4 linked regions of the Arabidopsis thaliana genome follow. The protein of the gene in region 1 interacts with the protein of each later gene in a pairwise test. Each region holds a gene or a part of one and is shown in the gene's direction. Other genes may lie near its edges. The genes, in order: AT-HSFB2B, AT5G43560, Lhca5 and PSBP-1.

Region 1 (4,529 bases):
AATGCTCACATAAAAATAATATATTTTTTTTGTCATTTCTTGCAAATAGTTTAAGACATTTAGATTTTTTTTTTTTAAAGATTACCGAAAGTTATACATGTTAAGTATACAATTCAAATTCATGACTTTCGACTATGAAAATACATCATAAATCGATTGTTTTACGTTTTCTGGATTTTTTTTTGGGTTTCTTGGCAAAGTAGACACTTTTTCATAAATAATTTGTAAAGTGGATAGTTTTTTTTAGAAATTAGAGAGATAGACACTTTTTTGTTTTTTGTGAGATAGAGGATATGTCTAATAGATTAAAAAAACAAAATACATATCAAATACTAAAATACCCTTTATCTTGAGAGCTAATAAAAATAATATGAGAGACCATTTGTACTTTATTTTGTTTGTCTTTATTTTTTTTATTTTTTTATTTTAGTTTTCTTAAAATATTTTTTTAAATAATAAATTCTTTTTAAAAAACATTACATTAACTTTTAGAGTAATTATATGTCATCAATCCAATGCACAAACATTTCAAACATAGTTTTGTACACTAACCATTATTCGTTGGTGTACAAATGTGTATACTGATATTTCATAAATCATTAAGTACACCGACTTCTCTTATAAACATAATGATTGTATAAACCTTATATGATTACTCAATATAATAGTGTACATGATGGTGTACATAATTAAAGTATTTTTGATGATGTACAAAATGATTGAAACTATTATGACGATTGATGGATAGAATGATGTATACAACTTTTAAATGATAGCATACAAGATTATTAGACAAAGTGTACAAAACTTGGTGTACACTTCTAGGAAATGTATAAATCATTATTTCAATTAGTGGTGTATATCTCGTACACCAATGTTAGTACACTGTCTCATAGATCTTTAAAGCTGTACGATCATGTACACCATATTTTCCATCATCTCTTTACACTATTTTGTACACAATTATACTGAGTCTATCACTTCTCAGTATTATATGTTAATTTTTACATTATTGTCGTACACTAACATTTGTACACCAGTTTTAACAATATCACATACACCGTCGGCTGGGATTAAATAAAAAAGTGTTACATATTTTTGAAATATAGCAAAATTAGACTTTTTAGATTCACATAAAAATTTTAAAAGTTAATATGATTATGTGGTAATTTTTTATGAAAAATTATTATCAAACAAAGTAAAAATATTTAAATAAAAAAAAAAAGAGAAAAAGTAGAATTTGATTTGAGTTTTGTCTATATTTTACTACCTAACAAATAACAAAAGGTTATATAAGTATTTTTACTAAAATTTTTATTAGACAAAAAATTGTATTAGAAAGGAAAAAAAAAATTATCTATTTCTTCTTTTTCTAAAAAAACTACATATTTTGCAATTTATTTATATAAAAAGAATACATTTTCCAACTTATCTCTTTTTTTTAAAAAGTTTTTTTATCATAAAAACTTTATATTTAAAATCTGGATAATGACACTATTACTACAATTTTGCTAAGATATTTGTTTCCTTTTTACGATGATTACAATTAGACTATAATATTGGATAAACGAATCTCAAATATTGAATTCATAATTAATGTTGAACATAAAACATAAGAAAAGTAATTAAAAAAAGAGTCAACTCAGAATAATCAATTCGAGTCTATCACTTTATTCCACTCACATTAATTACCAAAAATGTTATGAAAATCTAGATAGCGTTTCACATATTCACAGGGTCAAAAAAGGAAATAACAAAAAGAAGAAAAAAGAGAAACTTCTGGAAAAAGAAAAGGAAGCCACATACGCTCTTCTAGCGCATTCCTATACTCTTTCCTTCTTTGTGGTCCCCTTTTCACTTTTTTAAATTCCAACTTTACCCTTGTTCTTCTTCTTCGTTCTCTTTTTTTTATTTTTGTTTTTGTTGTTGTCTTCTGGAACTTCCGATCTGTCTCTCCTCTTCTCTCTCTTTCTTATCAATACGTTCCTCTCAGAACATTCTGGAACTTCACAACATAATCTCTCTCTCTCTCTATCTCTAGCTTCGTGATCATCGTGTGTCTCTGTGTTCAATCTGGATTGTGACAATCTCTTTCTTTCTTGGTTGGTGTAGATTACGTCAAGAGAGAGATAGAGAAGTTTTTGGATTTGGTTCTAATGGGTCTGTGATAGACGTTTCCTTTCTCTTCTCTGTCTAGTTTCTGTTTTGAGATCTCTATGTTTCCAACTTTCTTCAAAGCTCATTCCCATTGGTAGATTTCATCATTATCTTAATTTGGGTATTGGGATTAAGGAAAGTTTAGATTTTTGATCTATAACTCATGCCGGGGGAACAAACCGGAGAAACTCCGACGGTGGCCGGAGTTGGCGGCGGTGGAGCTGGTTGTAGCGCCGGGAATAGTGGTGGAAGTAGTGGATGTGGTGCTGGTGGTGGCGGTGGTGGTAGTGGTGGAGGTGGTGGCGGAGGAGGAGATTCACAGAGGTCAATTCCGACGCCGTTTTTGACGAAAACGTATCAGCTTGTGGAAGATCCGGTTTACGACGAATTGATCTCGTGGAACGAAGATGGAACCACTTTTATTGTGTGGCGACCAGCTGAATTCGCTAGAGATCTTCTTCCCAAATACTTCAAACATAATAACTTCTCGAGTTTTGTTCGTCAGCTCAATACTTACGTGAGTCTCAATATACGTTTGAATCGAAATTTTCAGTTATTAGGTTTTTTAGTAGTGAGCTCTTATTTTGGTTTATTATTGGTTTTAGGGATTTCGAAAAGTAGTTCCAGATCGTTGGGAGTTTTCTAATGATTGTTTTAAGAGAGGTGAGAAGATTCTGCTTCGGGATATTCAACGGCGGAAAATCTCTCAGCCTGCTATGGCCGCGGCTGCTGCAGCGGCGGCGGCAGCCGTAGCGGCTTCGGCTGTTACAGTAGCAGCTGTTCCTGTTGTAGCTCATATTGTTTCTCCATCGAACTCTGGAGAAGAACAGGTTATATCGTCTAATTCTTCGCCTGCGGCTGCTGCTGCTGCTATAGGAGGAGTGGTTGGTGGTGGTTCTTTGCAGAGGACAACGAGCTGCACCACTGCACCAGAGCTGGTTGAGGAGAATGAGCGATTGAGGAAAGATAATGAGCGATTGAGGAAAGAGATGACAAAGCTTAAAGGATTGTATGCGAATATCTACACATTAATGGCGAATTTCACACCGGGTCAAGAAGATTGTGCGCATTTGTTACCTGAAGGGAAACCTTTAGATCTTTTACCGGAGAGACAAGAGATGAGTGAAGCCATTATGGCTTCTGAAATAGAGACAGGGATTGGTCTGAAACTTGGTGAGGATTTGACTCCAAGGTTGTTTGGGGTTTCTATTGGGGTCAAGCGAGCTAGAAGAGAAGAAGAATTGGGTGCTGCAGAGGAAGAAGATGATGATAGACGAGAAGCTGCTGCCCAAGAGGGAGAACAAAGTTCTGATGTTAAGGCAGAGCCAATGGAGGAGAATAACTCCGGTAACCATAATGGGTCGTGGCTTGAACTCGGAAAATGAAAAACACTTGCCGATTCAGAGGCATTGTTGAATATGCAAGAAACTGTTACTGATCCCCATTGCATAGGCAAGCCATTGCGCTGTCCCGGACGGAAAATGGGGATGTGTTCGGTCATAAGAGGACAGATGTTCATTGAGTTGGGGTAGTACAAAAGTATCTAAAAACACTGATTCTACCATCCTGAGTTGTTCCTGATTTCAGATGTTGCCTCCTGAATCTTCTTCTTGATGGAACTGAAACTATTCTGGCTTGCTGTGCTCCAGTGAGTGGATGTGCTTCTCACGATTTCGGATAAAGCAGGCAGATTCAATGTTACATCTTCATATTCTGCAACAAATAGCAGGAATCAATGGTTTTTAAGAGTTATGGCAATGTTGATACAGAATCATTTCTTTTGAGTTCAAAACAATTGTAGCTCTCTGACTTGTAATGATCTTAATGAAATTTATCTCTCTTATTTAAAGATGGTCCAAGTTCTCTAGTGGTCGTGTGTGTGTTTTTACCTGTTGACATAGGAAGCTCGTACTGGCGCTTTAAGAATTTGGAGGCGTTACGATCTTTCTTGTGGCAAAGAACTCTAACAAGAGTTTGTGCATCCTCCAAGCGCCGCTGCTCTGAACTCACCCCCATGTTGATGAGCTCGCTCGCAGTCATTAGCATCTGAATTAGCATATCGCTCTGCCACAACGGACATAATCCGTAACACTTTGGTATCTCATAATTTCTAAGAAAGGAACTAAGTTTGCAATTTGCAAGTGAGCAAAATATATTTACCTCGAGAGAGTACAAGTCGAGGATCTCTTTCGCCTGTTTCGCTTCTTGCTCAACTAGTGAACGAGGAAGTCCCTCCCCATCGGCAATGAAGAACTCCTACAAGGGGACACACGCCGTAGGTTAAGTACACAGATTGGAACTGCCTAATCCACGGATCAAGACCCGGTTCTCATATGCAAAATGGCCGAACCTCAAAATCAAAGTAGAAAATC
Region 2 (7,425 bases), on another chromosome or scaffold:
CTTTAGATGGGCTTATAACGATAATGGGTTACGAACGGCTTATAGCCCATTCAAAGTTCTTATCTTTCAATTTCAAGTAATTTGCTTTCAAGCCCTTCGAATCTACCAAATTCCAATGACTGTAAATTATTTTTTTTTCCCCTCAAAATACATATTTACAAATATTAATTTACTTATGTATACAGACATTAAAAGGCACTAAAATAAGCTAATTATCATGATATAAAAGTAACTCAAGAGGAAAAGTAACTAAGCTTACATGTAATTCATAATTAGGTGACATCAAATTTACTATTTTTTAATTTTCTGCTGAATTTTTTTATTTATTAAATATACTTATTAATATCGAGATGTCTAATAAATATGAGAGAGTGTTTAAAAAAGAGTTTAGACATCGACATGAGACAAACAAAAAATGAAAAATAGTGGTACAAAATACAGATATATAACTTGAAAAAATAAATATAATTTATCAACACAAATACAAGTCCTAATCTGTTATTTATAAATTAATAATCTCAAAATATTACTTTGATATAAAATCAGTGTTCGTGTAATCTATCATTTATGCGATTTTTTAAAGAGATAACAATTTTTTTTTCTTTAGTGAAACATTAATATACCGTTTATTTAGTATGTTAAGTACTTTAATAAAACTCTTTAACAAAACAAAACAAAGTTAAGTATTTTTTAATATATAAGATATTTCTCTGCATGATCCAGGTGGAATTTTTTTAAAAGTTAACAATAGTTTTTTTTTTATAGTAAAACATGAATTTTGTTTGATTATTCCATTAGATAACAACTATTTTTCTTCTTGACAAAAAAGACAAATTTTTTTTAAGTAAAACGTTAATATCTCGTTTGTTTTATTCCGTTAAATAATTGAAATATATAAAATATTTTCCCGCATGATTCACGTGGATTTTTTTAAAAGGTAACATTTTGTTTTCTTAAGTAAACATGAATTTCGTTTGGTTATTCCGTTAGATGCTTTTAATGTATACATAATAATTATCCGCTTGATTTATGTAATTTTTTTTAAATGTAACAATTGTTTTCTCTTAAGTAAAATATGTATATCTCGTAGATTTATTCCGTTAGATAATTTTGATATATAAAATATTTTCCGCAAAATTTACATAGAATATTAAGAAAAGATCACAAAAAACAGAAATTTTGTTTGTTTATTCCGTTATATACTTAATATGTAAAATATTTTCCTCTTGATATACATATTTCAAAACGCTAATATCTCGTTTGGTTATTCTGTTAAATACTTTAATATATAAAATAATTTTTCTCGGATATATTTTTAAATATACATAAAATTTCTCTTTTAAGTTTTAAGTAAAAAAATAATAAATCTTTCGTTTGCCTTTTTATGAAAATATAGATTAAACTAATTGATGACAAGAAAAGACATTAGTTTTCTTATTACCATATTGATGATTTCATCTCTTTCTCTTGTAATACAAAATGGATAAAAAAAGAACAGAGCAGAAATGAAAACATGAACGTTATATATAAATATGTCATGAATGAAAAAATAACTATTAAAACAAATTAAATTTAAGGTTAAAATTTGTTCTCTCTGTTTCGCTGTGTTTTTTCTTCTTTCTTACAATCTCTCCATTTCTCTCTCTTCCGTCTCTTTTTTTATCTCTCTCTCTAGAATCTTGAAGAGAGCGAGCTTCCATTAAAATCTCATTCTAACGATCTCCAAGCTCTTTCTTCAATCATCTCCAGGTTTGCTTCGATCTACACGGCGTCGTTTACACGTCTCCTTCAAATCTTTCTTCCTTACTTCTCCGATTTCAATTTCGTGCCGTTTTTTTTTTGAGTTTTCCGATCGCTGATTTCTTCAAATATTTATCGAATTTTTTTTCAATGTTTTCTGTTTGTAAATTCTCTGTAATTCAATTAATTGAATCGAATAATTTTGTCTCTCTTGCATTTCCTCAGCTCCAGCTTTTGTTTTTATTAGTTTCTAAGATTGCTTTTTGTTTTTAGGGTTTATTCTCAATTCTTATATAGTTTTTGAGGTTTTTGGTGTATTGATTTGATTCATGTGAGTGAGTGATTGATTTAGAATCTTTGTTGAGCTGTGACTGTGATTTAGATTTGATTCACTTCAGCTATAATTCTTTGTTTTGATGATGATTATGATAAATTCGTAATTTTGAGCTTATTTGAATTCATTAACTAATTTAGTATGATGAAATCTTAATCAGGGGAATGTCAGAGAGTACTAATGAAGATAGTGGAGCAGGAAGATCATCACTGGAAGAGAATTCAAATGGACAAAGAAGTCAATCAGAAGAAGCAATCGCTGAGTGGCGTTCTTCTGAACAAGTTGAGAATGGAACTCCTTCTACATCTCCACCGTATTGGGACATCGATGATGATGACGATTTTGGATCAAAACCATCTCAACTATTTGGGAAAAATACTTGGACGATTGAGAAATTTTCAGATATCAACAAACGAGAGCTCCGCGGCGATGTTTTTGAAGTCGGGGGTTACAAATGGTAAGAATGATCACTAAACCTTGTTGAGTACTTTTCCTTAACAAAATGTTTGATATTCCTCTTGTGGTGGTGGTGTAGGTATATATTAATTTATCCACAAGGGTGTGATGTTTGCAACCATCTCTCTTTGTTTCTATGTGTTGCACACCATGAAAAGCTTCTTCCAGGTGAGTATATTGTGTTGTCTATTTAGCTACACACTCTTGAAACCGGGAACCTTATCGTTTAGGTTTATCTTTGAGACAGGCTGGAGTCATTTTGCTCAGTTTACTATAGCTGTGTCGAATAAAGATCCGAAGAAGTCAAAGCATTCAGGTTACATTTTGCATCTTTTGATTTCTTTATATCGTATTTACGCAGTCGAACTGAACAGGGTTTTCTTACAGATACGTTACACCGGTTTTGGAAGAAAGAGCATGATTGGGGTTGGAAGAAATTTATTGAGTTACCTAAATTGAAGGAAGGGTTTATAGATGATTCTGGTTGTCTTACAATTAAAGCTCAAGTGCAGGTGATCAGGTAAATGCAAGATTGAGTTTTAGCTAAAGTCATCATGTGTCAGACATCCTCCCATTAACATACATCTACACGTGTTTAAAAACGTTCCTGACCAAATATGCACATTGCAACAAAACTTATGCTCGCTTCAATTTATTTGATTTTATTTGTCGCATTGTGGATAATTCTGTAAATTGATTCTTGCAGAGAGAGAGTGGACCGACCTTTTCGCTGCCTTCATTATAAATATAGGGAGGAACTTGTTAGGGTGTATTTGGGAAATGTAGAGCAAATTTGCTGGCGGTTTGTGGAAGAGAAAAGAAGCAAGCTTGGTAGGTTGATAGAGGACAAGGCAAAATGGAAAAGGTATTCCACATTTTTACACTCAACTCCTCCAAATTCCAGAAATGAAATCAAAAATAGCTGTAGAGACTGGGTTGATTCCAATCTAGTGTAGTACTGCACTTTTTTTTTTTTTTTTTTACTTCTTGCTAATCTTCCTTCAAAGTTTGAGGTGTTTGCATGATAAGGAAGTGATTGTTATTTCTTGGTGCAGCTTCTGTGCTTTCTGGATGGGGTTGGACCAAAATTCAAGGCGTCGAATGTCCCGAGAGAAAATGGATGTGATTCTAAAAATAGTTGTAAAACACTTCTTTGTCGAGAAGGAAGTTACATCTACTTTGGTGATGGATTCCTTGTATAGTGGATTGAAGGCTCTTGAAGGCCAAAATAAGAACAAGGAGAGTAGGCCGAGACTAATGGATACTGAAGAATCCACAGCTCCAATTGTTAGCGTGGACAAAGATTCGTTTGCATTAGTTGATGATGTGTTATTACTCTTAGAGAAGGCTGCTCTGGAGCCATTGCCTAAAAAAGAGGAAAAGAGTTCTCAAAACCGTACGAAGGTTAGTTTCTTTGTTATTGTATTTTATTGATTGAAGTTCATGATTTACTCTCCTGTGTGGTGGTGCTTTTTGACTTTTTGTTATACATGTAAAAATGCTTGAAACATGAGCACTTGTCCTTATCTAGGATGGGAATGCTGGAGAGGAATTCAGTAGAGAAGCCGTTGAGCGTGATGATAGGCGTTTAACTGAATTGGGTAGACGGACTGTGGAGATATTTGTTCTTGCACATATCTTCAGGTAATAAGGCATAATTTTTCCTCTTTGTTTTTTTATTTGGTGCACCAGGCATAATTTTGCCTTTGCTTTAAAATTTCCATACAAGTGAATCATAAGCACATAATTTGTTTACAAGCTAAGACATGCGTGACGATCTTATTCTGAAACCGCTGATAGTGTTTATTTTGTATTTCTGGTCTTCTGGTATTGTGTGTCTTTGTGTTCTTAGCTGTACCTCATGTATAGCACTGCAATCTTTCTGAGAAATGCAGCAACAAAATTGAAGTTGCATACCAAGAAGCTATTGCATGGAAAAGGCAAGAAGAACTTATTCGTGAAGAAGAGGAAGCGTGGCTGGCAGAAAGCGAACAGAAGGGCAAAAGAGGAGCATCTGAAAAAGAGAAGAAATCTAAGAAGAAACAGGTCCGTCCTTACACTTCTGTTACTTCCAAAATAGATAATGCCATTAACGACTAGTTGGGGTGCTAATGGAGATTCTTATTGTTTTGGAACTCATAGGCGAAACAGAAAAAGAACAAAAACAAAGGAAAGGAAATGAGGAAAGAAGACAAGGTGAGAACCCAAACAGAAGAAAGGGAAATTGAGAAAGAGGAATGTGTGAGAGCGATAGCAGAATCGTCAGCTGAAAAACCTGACACACTTGGAGATGTCTCTGACGTGTCTGATTCAGTAGATAGTTCAGCTGAAATACTTCAGCTTGATTCAGAAGATAGAGAGAGTAGTCCTGTTCATTGGGAAATGGATGCCTCAGAGGTTCATCCTCCTTCTGCAGGAGACACTAGCAGAGGAAGAGGCAATTCTTTTTCTATACCTAATGGAGTTGCAGAAAGAAAGGGTCTGTCCACAATGGATGATAGTTCTTCAACCTGTTCTAATGACTCGATTCAATCAGGGGTAGCCAATGGGTCATACAAAGGGAATGTATTAAATTGCCAAAGCCAAAAGTGGTTTAGCAAGTAAGTAAACTTTTTTTGAACTTTCCTTTAAGTTATTTGTTTGTTCCACATCCGGATAACATACCTTGTGATGTGCAGTGGAAAAATACAACCAGGAAAAGTATCTGATTCCAACAGTTTAGCCAGTGAAAAAGAGCATCAACCTTCAAGACTTGCATCTGACCCTAAAAATCAGAGCCATTCTTCTGATATACGCAGAGTTGGTGAAGCTGACATAGTTATCTCCCACATTCAAAAACCAGAGAGCCCTAAGGAACGTAGTCCTGTTAGCAAGGTGGTTTACTCTTTCCTTTTGAAGTTGCAATGTTGGAACTTGGAAGTTATATATATAAAAGAGGGAAGCTAAATTCCAAAGAATTCGTGTTGGTTTACCTTTCAATCCATTTTAGAGTGATATGCTTATCAACATTGAATGACTATATCTTATTTTGCAGGATCCCAACATGATTCAGATGAAAGAGAAAAGTGCTGCGGTACTTTCCCCATCCAGAGCTGCTCCTTGGAATCCTCCGTCTCCAGTGCAAGCAAAACCGGAGAAAAAGGGTGTTTCAAATGTAGAGGCGGTTCCAAACAGGAAAGTCATATCTGTTAAATCACCTTCATCACATCATGCATCACCATCTCGTGAAGCTCAGTTGCAAACAGTGGGTCCTAGAGCTGATATACAGAAAATCGCTTCTCCGAAACCTGTGGAACAACCAGCACCTCCTATGTCAAGGCCTTTGAGTGCTCCTATAATCCCTCCAACGCAAGCTGCACCTGTAATATCTGCTGTTCAAACCTCGACTGCGTCCCTTGCTCGTTCAATGAGCTCAACAGGGCGTTTAGGTTCACCGACACATAGCCAAGCTTACAATCCTCAATCCTACAAACATGCCATAGTGGGTTCATCTGGTTTCACCCACCCAAGCTCTCAATCGAGTGGAACAAGCACATTGCCGCCTTATTCACATCCGTCTCCTATCTCAGTATCAAATCAGTCTGGTTTCCCTATCAATGTTGGCTCTTGGGATGTTTCTTCTGGTGGGCTATTGTGGACCGGTGGTTCGAGTTCAACCAGAGATACAACAACAACCATCAGCGGGAATCACAAAACAAACACTTACAACGCACCCGTAGTAACTACCAGCATCAGGCCTACTAATGTTCAGATAGGGAGAACGGCACAGAGTCTGATGACCGATGAGTTCCCTCACCTTGATATCATCAATGATCTGCTTGCAGACGAACACGGTACAATGGATAATAGCGTATACCGTGTACCACAACAGTTCAACAACCAGTACTCATATCATGGCGGTGCGGATCTCGGGATCTCTAGCAGGTCTAGGAGTTACAGTGATGATGGATTTCACCAGTCTTACGGTGAATACATGCCACATTCTGCTTCTTCCTCGCCATATGGTAATGGGCAAACACAATCGCAATGGCAGATGGCAAATATGGATTTCTCTTTACCGGCTATGAGGAACCAAGACGATGTATCAGCATCAGCAACAGCTACTTACTCTTACTTTGATTTAGATTCATCAAACCCGAATTTGTCTGGAATCAACGGCTATAGGGACTTCAGGCCATCGAACGGACACTGAGGTTTGGGTTTAAAGAGTGGCATTGCATTGTAATGTTTATTATATAAAGATGGAAAGCAAAAAACATTTGTGTAAAGAGAGTTTTCGTCCTCTTCGTTTCAAATGAATCCTTTTTTCTCTATAGGTTTTATTTTCTTTAATAATATAACAATTTTTAAGTTAATTGATCCTCAAATTAAAGTTTCAGAGTCAGCTTATCTTCATTTGGAGTATTTAAATGTGCGAATGCAAATGCGGTTGTGGATAGAACTATGACGAACAAAGTCAACTTGAACTATTCATATATGAATGGTTGTCTTTTTTTCTTTCCACAAAAATATTCAATACAAAAAAAGGCAGAAGATATATATGACCTGCATGACATCGAAACACTTTTTTTAGATGAAAGACTTCACCACGGAAAAATATTATGATTTGTATATAAAATGTATAACTAAAAGATAGATTGTGTGGAAGAAAACTTAGGGCAATAATTTCTTACGTAAAATGGCCACCAATTTCAGAAATATACGCTAGATTAATTCACGAGAGCCTACGGTCTACATACCGTAATCAAACCACCCACGACTTGCCCGATTAAACATTATCATTTTTTTCCTGAAAAGTTATTAATATTATAGTTATATTGTTCACACATTTTCATGTGTCACATGTCCTTTATCTATCTCGGATGTGTATCTACTATCTAAAGTAGGTGAAAATG
Region 3 (3,925 bases), on another chromosome or scaffold:
AAAAAGTGTTTAGTGGATATAAATTTTGTAAAAAATAATTACTATAAAAAATAATAATTAGATTGTGTACTGATCTTTTGAATCAAAAAGATTTATGTACTTAAAATAAAAGGAACATACAATAATCAGAAAATATTTGGTGTATTCTTCTAGAATTTTCTTTCTAAATAAATCATGCAATATTGCAAGTTTTGGAAGATTTTCAAATATTTGATTAAATATCAAAATTGATTGCAGACAAAGAAAAAGGTAAGCACAATAGAGTTTTCCATTTGTATTCATCCCACTGGGCCTTGGAATAGAACTCGAGAAATTAATATGTATCCAACGAAGGAAAAGAAAATTTCACAATCCGGCTTGGTATAATAATAATAAGTTTGTGCGATTGTACATTAATTTGTGAAGAAGCCATGACTACTACTATGGTTGATGATGCTAAGAAGCCTGTCTATGAATCTACTAGCCTCTTCCGTATTTGGTGGTAATATCAAAGTCGATTTTCTTATCGATTCATTACTAGAGAACAAAATTAATTCTCATGATTCACTAATTTAATTTTTTTTCTTCTAATTTGTTAATGAAGGACGAACAAGAACCTACAATACGATATCGTGATGACTTGCATCCTCAAAATCCTCAACATTGCAGCGAACTTGTATATGACACACCACAAGATTCCCTTAACCGCAGATGAATCATCTTTGACGGTTTGCTTACTAATGTACTTAGTGTGCGGCATGATGAGTTTCATGGGGTGGTGCATGGCAATGACTGCTGTTGAAGGTTATGACATGTACATATGTGGACGCATTGGTCACATCTTTGGCTTGAGTGTTCTCCTTCACCTCCTCTATTCTATCTCTCCAAGTTTGGCTCTATGGTTTGGTATCCCATCGTTGTTATGGGTCTTTGCCGCTTTCATTGAAGCTCTTTATGCATTATGTCTACCCCAACTATTTAAAGCTTTAAGAGATCACTGGGACTATTTGAATCAACCACTCCTCAGAGTTGTTAATGTTTAGTTTCTTCTCTTTAATTTATATGTCTTGAATTTTCTTTTTAATCTTAAAATATTTCACGGATATAATCATTTTTCTTTATAATTTTATTTTTCTTCATATATTTTTTTTTTTGGTGCATGAAAACCAAATATAATATTTGATTTGAAAGTAGAGACTCATCTTCTTTCATGATTCAATTCTTTGTTTTGTTCCACAAGGCTGATTCTTTGCAATATAGATTGCTATAAGTTTAGGGCTTCAATAATATTGGTGATATTAGGCATGGCCATAATAACCGAACCGAAAGAACTGAATCAGAACTAAAACAAAAAGAACTGAACCCGAACCGAAATGATAGAATACTCAAATGGATCCTAAATTTTTGAATCAAAATAATCGGAACCGTACCCGAACCAAATCGAAATATTTTGGTTATCTGAAATATTTGAAATATGATTATAAGTATTAATTATTTTTAGATCAAATAATCAAAAATATCTAAAATACCAAAATTTACTCGAAAAATATATAAAAATACCAAAATCCGAAAAATACTCGAAACTATTCGAAAATACTCAAAATATCTGAAATATCAGAAAAATACGAAATAAAATATCTGAATGGATCCTAAACTTCAAAACCGAAACCGAAAGAACCAGAACCAAACCCAAACCGAATTGAAACTGTTTCGGTTCATATATGGATTCTAAACCAACCGAACCGAAAGAATCGGAACCGAACTGAATACCCGAATTCCCAGGCTTAGGTGATATGATAATATAAAAAAAAATCATATTTTTTATCAAAATGAGAAAAAATAATAATAATAATATGAATACAAGAAATGAAAAAAATGACTAGTTTACGTGGATCACGTTACTTCACAACTTGCCGATAACAAATAAACAGAGTCAGAACAGAACAAAAACGTAAGCAAAAAAAAATAAAACAGAGCAAAATGGCCGTAGTTTTACGTGGAGGCATCACCGGAGGATTTCTTCACCATCGTCGTGACGCTTCATCCGTCATCACAAGAAGAATCTCATCCGTCAAAGCCGCAGGAGGAGGCATCAACCCAACGGTGGCTGTTGAACGTGCCACGTGGCTACCTGGACTAAACCCTCCTCCTTATCTTGATGGAAAGTGAGTTCCTTTTGCCTCCCATTTGCAAAAAGGACTAATATACTAATCTCTTGTTGTGTTCTTGAAATAAAGTTTAGCTGGAGATTACGGGTTTGACCCACTCGGGTTAGGAGAGGATCCGGAAAGCTTGAAGTGGTATGTTCAAGCAGAGCTTGTTCACTCTCGTTTCGCTATGCTCGGTGTTGCAGGAATACTCTTCACTGATGTAATCACTAATCTTAATCATTTACTTAAATGTTGAAAATGGCTCCAAATATGACTAACTTAGAGCTTTGTTTTTGTTGCATTAGCTCCTTCGGACCACAGGGATTCGTAATTTACCGGTTTGGTATGAAGCTGGAGCTGTGAAATTTGATTTTGCTAGTACAAAAACTCTCATAGTTGTACAGTTTCTACTTATGGGGTAATGAATCAAACTCATTATCTATCTTTATTGTTAACCAACAAAAGCTTAGAATGGTTCTGTTTTGTTTTCTTCACAAGGTTTGCTGAGACTAAAAGGTATATGGATTTTGTCTCTCCGGGATCACAAGCCAAAGAAGGATCGTTTTTCTTTGGACTTGAAGCAGCACTCGAGGGGCTCGAGCCTGGATATCCCGGAGGACCGCTTTTAAACCCATTAGGCCTTGCTAAGGATGTTCAAAATGCTCATGACTGGAAGCTTAAGGAGATCAAGAACGGTACTAGACTTACTTTGGTTTGGTTACTTACTCATAAAACTCTCTTTGTGGGACATTGATTGATTGTTTTTTTTAACAGGTCGTCTAGCGATGATGGCGATGCTCGGGTTCTTTGTTCAAGCCTCTGTGACTCACACTGGCCCTATTGATAACCTTGTTGAGCATCTCTCTAATCCATGGCATAAGACCATCATTCAAACCCTCTTCACCTCTACATCTTAGGTACATTCTTTTGTAATGAAAAATTCGATTATTCGACAAGTGTATCAATACCTTTATTTCATTTAAGAGTACAACAAATCTGTTCTAATCAACAAACTTAAAAGTTCACTGTTCTCTCTCAACATACAAATCGAATATCTCGAGAAAATAACAATAAAACCTACCTGTAAGAAACTTACTTGTTGGATGACTTCTTCCTTGACAAGAACATGAAGACTTTTGGTAACAGAGAGAACCTCTTCTTTTTCTTTTTTGTTTCAGTTTCAGGAGTCACATTACTACTGCTTGCTTGTGGGGTCACATTACTACTGCTTGCTTGTTCACCAAATGTAAACGTTGTTGGTTGATGCAAAGCCGATTTAGACTTGCTTAAGTTCTCCTTATTTCCTCCCTCGGGGCTTCTATTCCCGTTATCCGACCTCCATTTTCGCAACTCGTGATCCATACCAACCTTCCCATCTCTAGCTTTCTCAACTTTTGTCATTGCTTCTTTTAGCTCTACCTTTCTTATAGCTGTTTCTCTACTCACTTCCTCTAGATTTTCCAAGATTCTTGATTCCTCTTCCTTAGCCACCTCGATTTTGGAGACGATCTCCGCTAGTTTTCTATTAGCTGCCTCTTCTACCTCATGTGCTTGCTTGCTTAGCTCATAATATTCCTCCACTGAAATTATTATGCTTTTTGGAGAACTACTAATGTCTTCGATTTTGTTAGCATATTCAGTCTCTTGCAATGCTTTTATTGCAGCTAAAGCTAACTTCTCAGAAGCTCTTGAAGCTTCCATTTCCTTTTTCGACTCCATTAACTGTCTTTCTACCGCAGAGAGTCCTGTTTTCGCTTCATCGGACTCTTCCTTCGCCTTTCTTAGCTCCTCTCGAG
Region 4 (4,327 bases), on another chromosome or scaffold:
AAAGAAGTTGGTAGGCCTGGAGAGAAAATAATGCTTGGGCCGGAAAATTCAGTAAAAGTAGTAGTGGATCGGTGGCTGCCTTTCAAGGTTACAGCTTTTGAAATTGCTCAAATGTACATCTTGAGAGAGAGACTAATGGCGTCCATTTTGTTCAAGGTACATGAGTTATCACTACGATTTAAGATTTTCATTATTTTATTTTGGCAATGTCATCCTTTTCAACCTTCCATATGCATTTGTAGGTTAAACATCCAAAGGAAAATTTGCCGCCTCATCTCGGTGCTTCTATGTATGCAATAGCTTCTGTTCTCTCATATGATAGCCTCGCACAATCTTCAGTTCAAACTGTAGCTGTGCAACCTATTACTTCAGTGGTAGATGCAACGAGTCCCAGAGATGACATACCTTCCACTAACCCCAATGAGCTTCGGGAGCATGACCCGAACACTACTCCAATGGGGTCAAAGCTCGAATTAGCCAACAAGTTGGGTTTGGGTAATATGGAAGAGAGCTTGCCTTCAAATTTCGCTGATGGGAATGAGCAACCTGACCCAAACACTTCTCCAGTGGAAGATGTTTCGGCGGCTACAAAACAAAAGAAGATGCAGTCAGAGTCCAAAAGGTGCAAGTCGCTCAACAACGTGGATTTGGGGAACATTGAAGAGAATTTCGGGAACATGGAAGAGAACCCACCTTCTGATCTGGCTATTGGGAATGAGCAAACATTGCCGAAGTTAGCTAGCAACTTGGACATGGGGAACATGGAAGAGAACACGCCTTCTGATCTGGCCAATGGGAATGAGAAAACAGAGCCTAACTCAGCCAACAGCATGGATTTAGGGAACATGGAAGAGAACACGCCTTCTGATTTGGCAAATGGGAATAAGAAAAAAGAGCCTAAGTCAGTCAGCAAGTTGGATCTGGGTAGCGAGAAAGTGAGCATTCCTTCTAATCTCGTCAATGGAAATGAGCAACATGACCTAAACATTGCTCCAGGTGAAGATGCTTCAGCGGCTAAGCAACCAGAAAAGAAGCGATCCAGGTCTAAAAAGCGCAAATCAGGCAACAACCTGGATTTGGGGAAGATGGAAAAGAGCAAGCCTTCCGATCTGGCAAATGAGAATGAGCAAACAGAGCCCAAGTCAGCCAACAACTTGGATTTAGGGAATATGAAAGAGAACACGCCTTCGGATCTGGCTAATGAGAATGAGCAAACAGAGCTTAGGCTACCTAACAACTCGGATTATGGTAACATGGAAGAGAGCTTGCCTTTGAATCTTGCTAATGGGGATGAACAACCTGACCCAACCACTGCTCCAATGGAAGCTGCTAAGCAACCAAAAAAGAAGCGATCAAGGTCCAAAAAGTGCAAATCAGTCAACAACCTGGACTTGGGGAACATGGAAGAAAACAAGCCTTCTGATCTGGCAAACGGAAATGAGCAAAAAGATCCTGAGTCAGTCAACAGGTTGGATCCGGGTAAGGAGAAAGAGAGCATTCCTTCGAATCTTGTCAGTGGGAATGAGCAACCTGACTCAAACACTGCTCCAGCTAAGAAACCAAAAAAGAAAAAGCGCAAATTAGCTAACAACTTTGATTCGGTTAACAATATGGAAGAGAAAATGCCTTCCACTAATGTATTGAGCCAGGGAAACAAGTCAGGTTTGATTGAGGAAAAACCGAGCATACCTTCCGATCAATGAGCAGTGTGGCTCAAATACTGCACCAACCTAAGCAAAACCGAAAGAAGAAGGGAAGTATGATGCCCATTCCACTTTGGTGTTTTAATGAGCATTTCGGTGTTTGTCATGAAACCAAGTTTTGAAATGGCACTTGTCTACATAAGTGTAACAGATTCTTAATTTCAACAATTTTGTTAGATAATTTGTATTCATTCTCACTTAGTGCTTCCGTTGTTCTATCGTTATAAACGTTTTAAGATATACGCATGTAACTGAAAGAAGAAAAGCCATTATTGATCCAGTACTGTAGTGTCTTAGTGTGAGCAGAAAAAAGATTTGATCATGGAATGGCTTTAGAGTAAAATACTAAAATAGATGGAATCGAAGGCTTATGAATCTGACGTGGAACAAGAAGAAAGCGTATCTGCCACGTGGCACAATACAACACCTCAACAGCCTTATCTGGACATCAACAGAGAGATCCTCCAATATCCGAAACCAACCAATCAGCTTCACTCTTGGTTTCACCTCCATACATTAACACACCAACAATCCTCAAAAAACACTTTCATAACTTAATCACACACAAGGAGAGAAGAGAGAAAGAGAGAAAGAGAGACAGAGATAATGGCGTACAGTGCGTGTTTCCTACACCAGAGCGCATTGGCTTCATCAGCCGCACGATCATCATCTTCCTCCTCATCCCAGCGTCACGTGTCGCTCTCCAAACCTGTTCAGATCATCTGTAAAGCTCAACAGTCTCATGAAGACGATAACTCCGCCGTCTCCCGCCGTCTTGCTCTCACTCTCCTCGTCGGCGCCGCTGCTGTTGGTTCCAAAGTATCTCCTGCTGATGCCGCCTACGGTGAAGCTGGTGCGTTTATAAAATAAAATAACCTTGGATCATTTCATTTTCTTGAAGAAGAATCTTGAAGAACATATTGTGTTTTTTTCATCCTATTTTTATTTTTTGGTTTGTTGCAGCAAACGTGTTTGGGAAGCCAAAGACGAACACAGACTTCTTGCCATACAATGGAGATGGGTTCAAAGTGCAGGTTCCAGCAAAATGGAACCCAAGCAAAGAGATTGAGTATCCAGGACAAGTCCTTAGGTTCGAAGACAACTTCGATGCTACTAGCAATCTCAATGTCATGGTCACTCCTACCGACAAGAAGTCCATCACTGATTACGGTTCTCCCGAAGAGTTCCTCTCTCAGGTCTTTGCTTTACTCCATCATCTGTAAAGGTATTGATGTTACAAAATCTAATGAAGTGTGAGACTGAGTGGTGATTTGGGCTTTATGCAGGTTAATTACCTCCTAGGGAAACAAGCTTACTTCGGTGAGACTGCCTCTGAGGTAAACTTCCCATTGTTATTTGTTATAAGTAAACCAGAAGCTGATAGAATAGAATAAGAGAATCAAACACTAAAGAGAGAACACATTGTCTCCCTCGTTGTTAACTGATAAAACAAAACTCAAAAGCTTTTTTAACTGATAACCTTCAAAGACCTCTCTAGTAGTCGATGATTATTACAAGAAAGATTCTTACCTTAGGTGGAGTGAGTTATCAAGTTCTAACTCTGTGTGTGTGTGAATCTGATGTTCTTACAGGGAGGCTTTGACAACAATGCAGTGGCAACAGCAAACATTCTGGAGTCATCATCTCAGGAAGTTGGTGGGAAACCCTACTATTACTTGTCTGTGTTGACAAGAACGGCTGATGGAGACGAAGGTGGGAAGCATCAGCTGATCACAGCAACCGTGAATGGAGGGAAGCTTTACATCTGCAAAGCACAAGCTGGAGACAAGAGGTGGTTCAAGGGAGCCAGGAAATTTGTCGAGAGCGCAGCCACTTCTTTCAGTGTTGCTTGAGTGAAAGCAACACAACGTAACAATGCTCTGCTTGCTTTCTTCATTTGTCTCTTGTAAAAAATGGAAAATGAAACTGAGCTTTTGAGAACTATCAAGATGATGTTACCTTTTCGGCATCACTTGTGTACCTATGATAACAGACTCGTTTTCCAAGTTTTCTTAAAAAACAACTATATTCAATAGATATTTTCTCAAATTAATAAGATATTGACTCAGAAAGAAGCTATAGACTAAATCTAAATCCTTGAAAGCACAAAGATAGTGAGAAGAAAGCCTGCTTGAAGCTGATATGAAAAGAGGTAAGCATCAAATGGTTCTTCTAGTCAACAGAAAGGTTAAAACGCAGATGAATTTTGACGTCTGACTCTAACTAGATCTATTGAAGCATATGCCAAAGGCCCTCCTCTTTCTTTTTGGCTACTGTAAAGTTCTCAAAGAGGCAAAAAGATTTTATTTGCATATGTATTACAACACTTTACCATCATCTATATACTACTTTTAGTTCATATTGTAACTTTTGAGCTTTACAAATGCTACAAACAGAGTGTTAAGAGTTCAGAGATACTCAACAGGGAAACCAACGACGGGTTTTATCTCAGAGGCCAGGGACCGTAGCTCACTCACTTCATTGTCTGTCAGACTCCAACCTATCGCTCCAGCAAACTCTTTGGCTTGTTCTGCGTTCTTGGCTCCTGGGATGGGTATCACGTTCCCTTGTGCCACCAACCAGTTCAATGCTATCTGCACAGCACAACACAACAAAACAAGAAG

Evidence for each region.
Region 2: the proteins of AT-HSFB2B (region 1) and AT5G43560 interact in a two-hybrid assay, tested with the Arabidopsis thaliana proteins (one study listed by BioGRID).
Region 3: the proteins of AT-HSFB2B (region 1) and Lhca5 interact in a two-hybrid assay, tested with the Arabidopsis thaliana proteins (one study listed by BioGRID).
Region 4: the proteins of AT-HSFB2B (region 1) and PSBP-1 interact in a two-hybrid assay, tested with the Arabidopsis thaliana proteins (one study listed by BioGRID).

What each region holds. Positions count from the first base shown.
Region 1 is NC_003075.7:7,040,686-7,045,214, forward strand, and holds AT-HSFB2B (winged-helix DNA-binding transcription factor family protein), read left to right. Parts: upstream 1-1,668; 5' UTR 1,669-2,320; coding exon 2,321-2,674; intron 2,675-2,762; coding exon 2,763-3,542; 3' UTR 3,543-3,715; coding exon of another isoform or gene 3,716-3,870; 3' UTR 3,871-4,023; downstream 4,024-4,529. Other genes in the region: AT4G11670 (DNA topoisomerase 4 subunit B (DUF810)), read right to left, coding at 3,716-3,870, 4,047-4,221, 4,318-4,413. UniProt on the Arabidopsis thaliana protein: Transcriptional regulator that specifically binds DNA sequence 5'-AGAAnnTTCT-3' known as heat shock promoter elements (HSE).
Region 2 is NC_003076.8:17,498,805-17,506,229, forward strand, and holds AT5G43560 (TRAF-like superfamily protein), read left to right. Parts: upstream 1-1,571; 5' UTR 1,572-1,749; exon of another isoform or gene 1,750-2,234; 5' UTR 2,235-2,238; coding exon 2,239-2,531; intron 2,532-2,609; coding exon 2,610-2,698; intron 2,699-2,777; coding exon 2,778-2,846; intron 2,847-2,917; coding exon 2,918-3,050; intron 3,051-3,236; coding exon 3,237-3,395; intron 3,396-3,585; coding exon 3,586-3,934; intron 3,935-4,061; coding exon 4,062-4,174; intron 4,175-4,425; coding exon 4,426-4,576; intron 4,577-4,672; coding exon 4,673-5,130; intron 5,131-5,208; coding exon 5,209-5,404; intron 5,405-5,564; coding exon 5,565-6,722; 3' UTR 6,723-6,909; downstream 6,910-7,425. UniProt on the Arabidopsis thaliana protein: Functions redundantly with TRAF1B in the regulation of plant immune response. Contributes to the turnover of the nucleotide-binding domain and leucine-rich repeat-containing (NB-LRR) immune receptors SNC1 and RPS2.
Region 3 is NC_003070.9:17,177,394-17,181,318, forward strand, and holds Lhca5 (photosystem I light harvesting complex protein 5), read left to right. Parts: upstream 1-1,856; 5' UTR 1,857-1,959; coding exon 1,960-2,144; intron 2,145-2,216; coding exon 2,217-2,349; intron 2,350-2,434; coding exon 2,435-2,547; intron 2,548-2,627; coding exon 2,628-2,824; intron 2,825-2,903; coding exon 2,904-3,046; exon of another isoform or gene 3,047-3,137; intron 3,138-3,221; downstream 3,222-3,925. Other genes in the region: AT1G45403 (uncharacterized protein), read left to right, coding at 411-481, 584-1,022; AT1G45545 (WEAK CHLOROPLAST MOVEMENT UNDER BLUE LIGHT-like protein (DUF827)), read right to left, coding at 3,222-3,925. UniProt on the Arabidopsis thaliana protein: The light-harvesting complex (LHC) functions as a light receptor, it captures and delivers excitation energy to photosystems with which it is closely associated.
Region 4 is NC_003070.9:2,045,631-2,049,957, forward strand, and holds PSBP-1 (photosystem II subunit P-1), read left to right. Parts: upstream 1-2,003; 5' UTR 2,004-2,309; coding exon 2,310-2,556; coding exon of another isoform or gene 2,557-2,560; intron 2,561-2,666; coding exon 2,667-2,899; intron 2,900-2,989; coding exon 2,990-3,040; intron 3,041-3,295; coding exon 3,296-3,556; 3' UTR 3,557-3,809; downstream 3,810-4,327. Other genes in the region: NIH (nuclear DEIH-boxhelicase), read left to right, coding at 1-156, 243-1,703; AT1G06690 (NAD(P)-linked oxidoreductase superfamily protein), read right to left, coding at 4,112-4,297. UniProt on the Arabidopsis thaliana protein: May be involved in the regulation of photosystem II.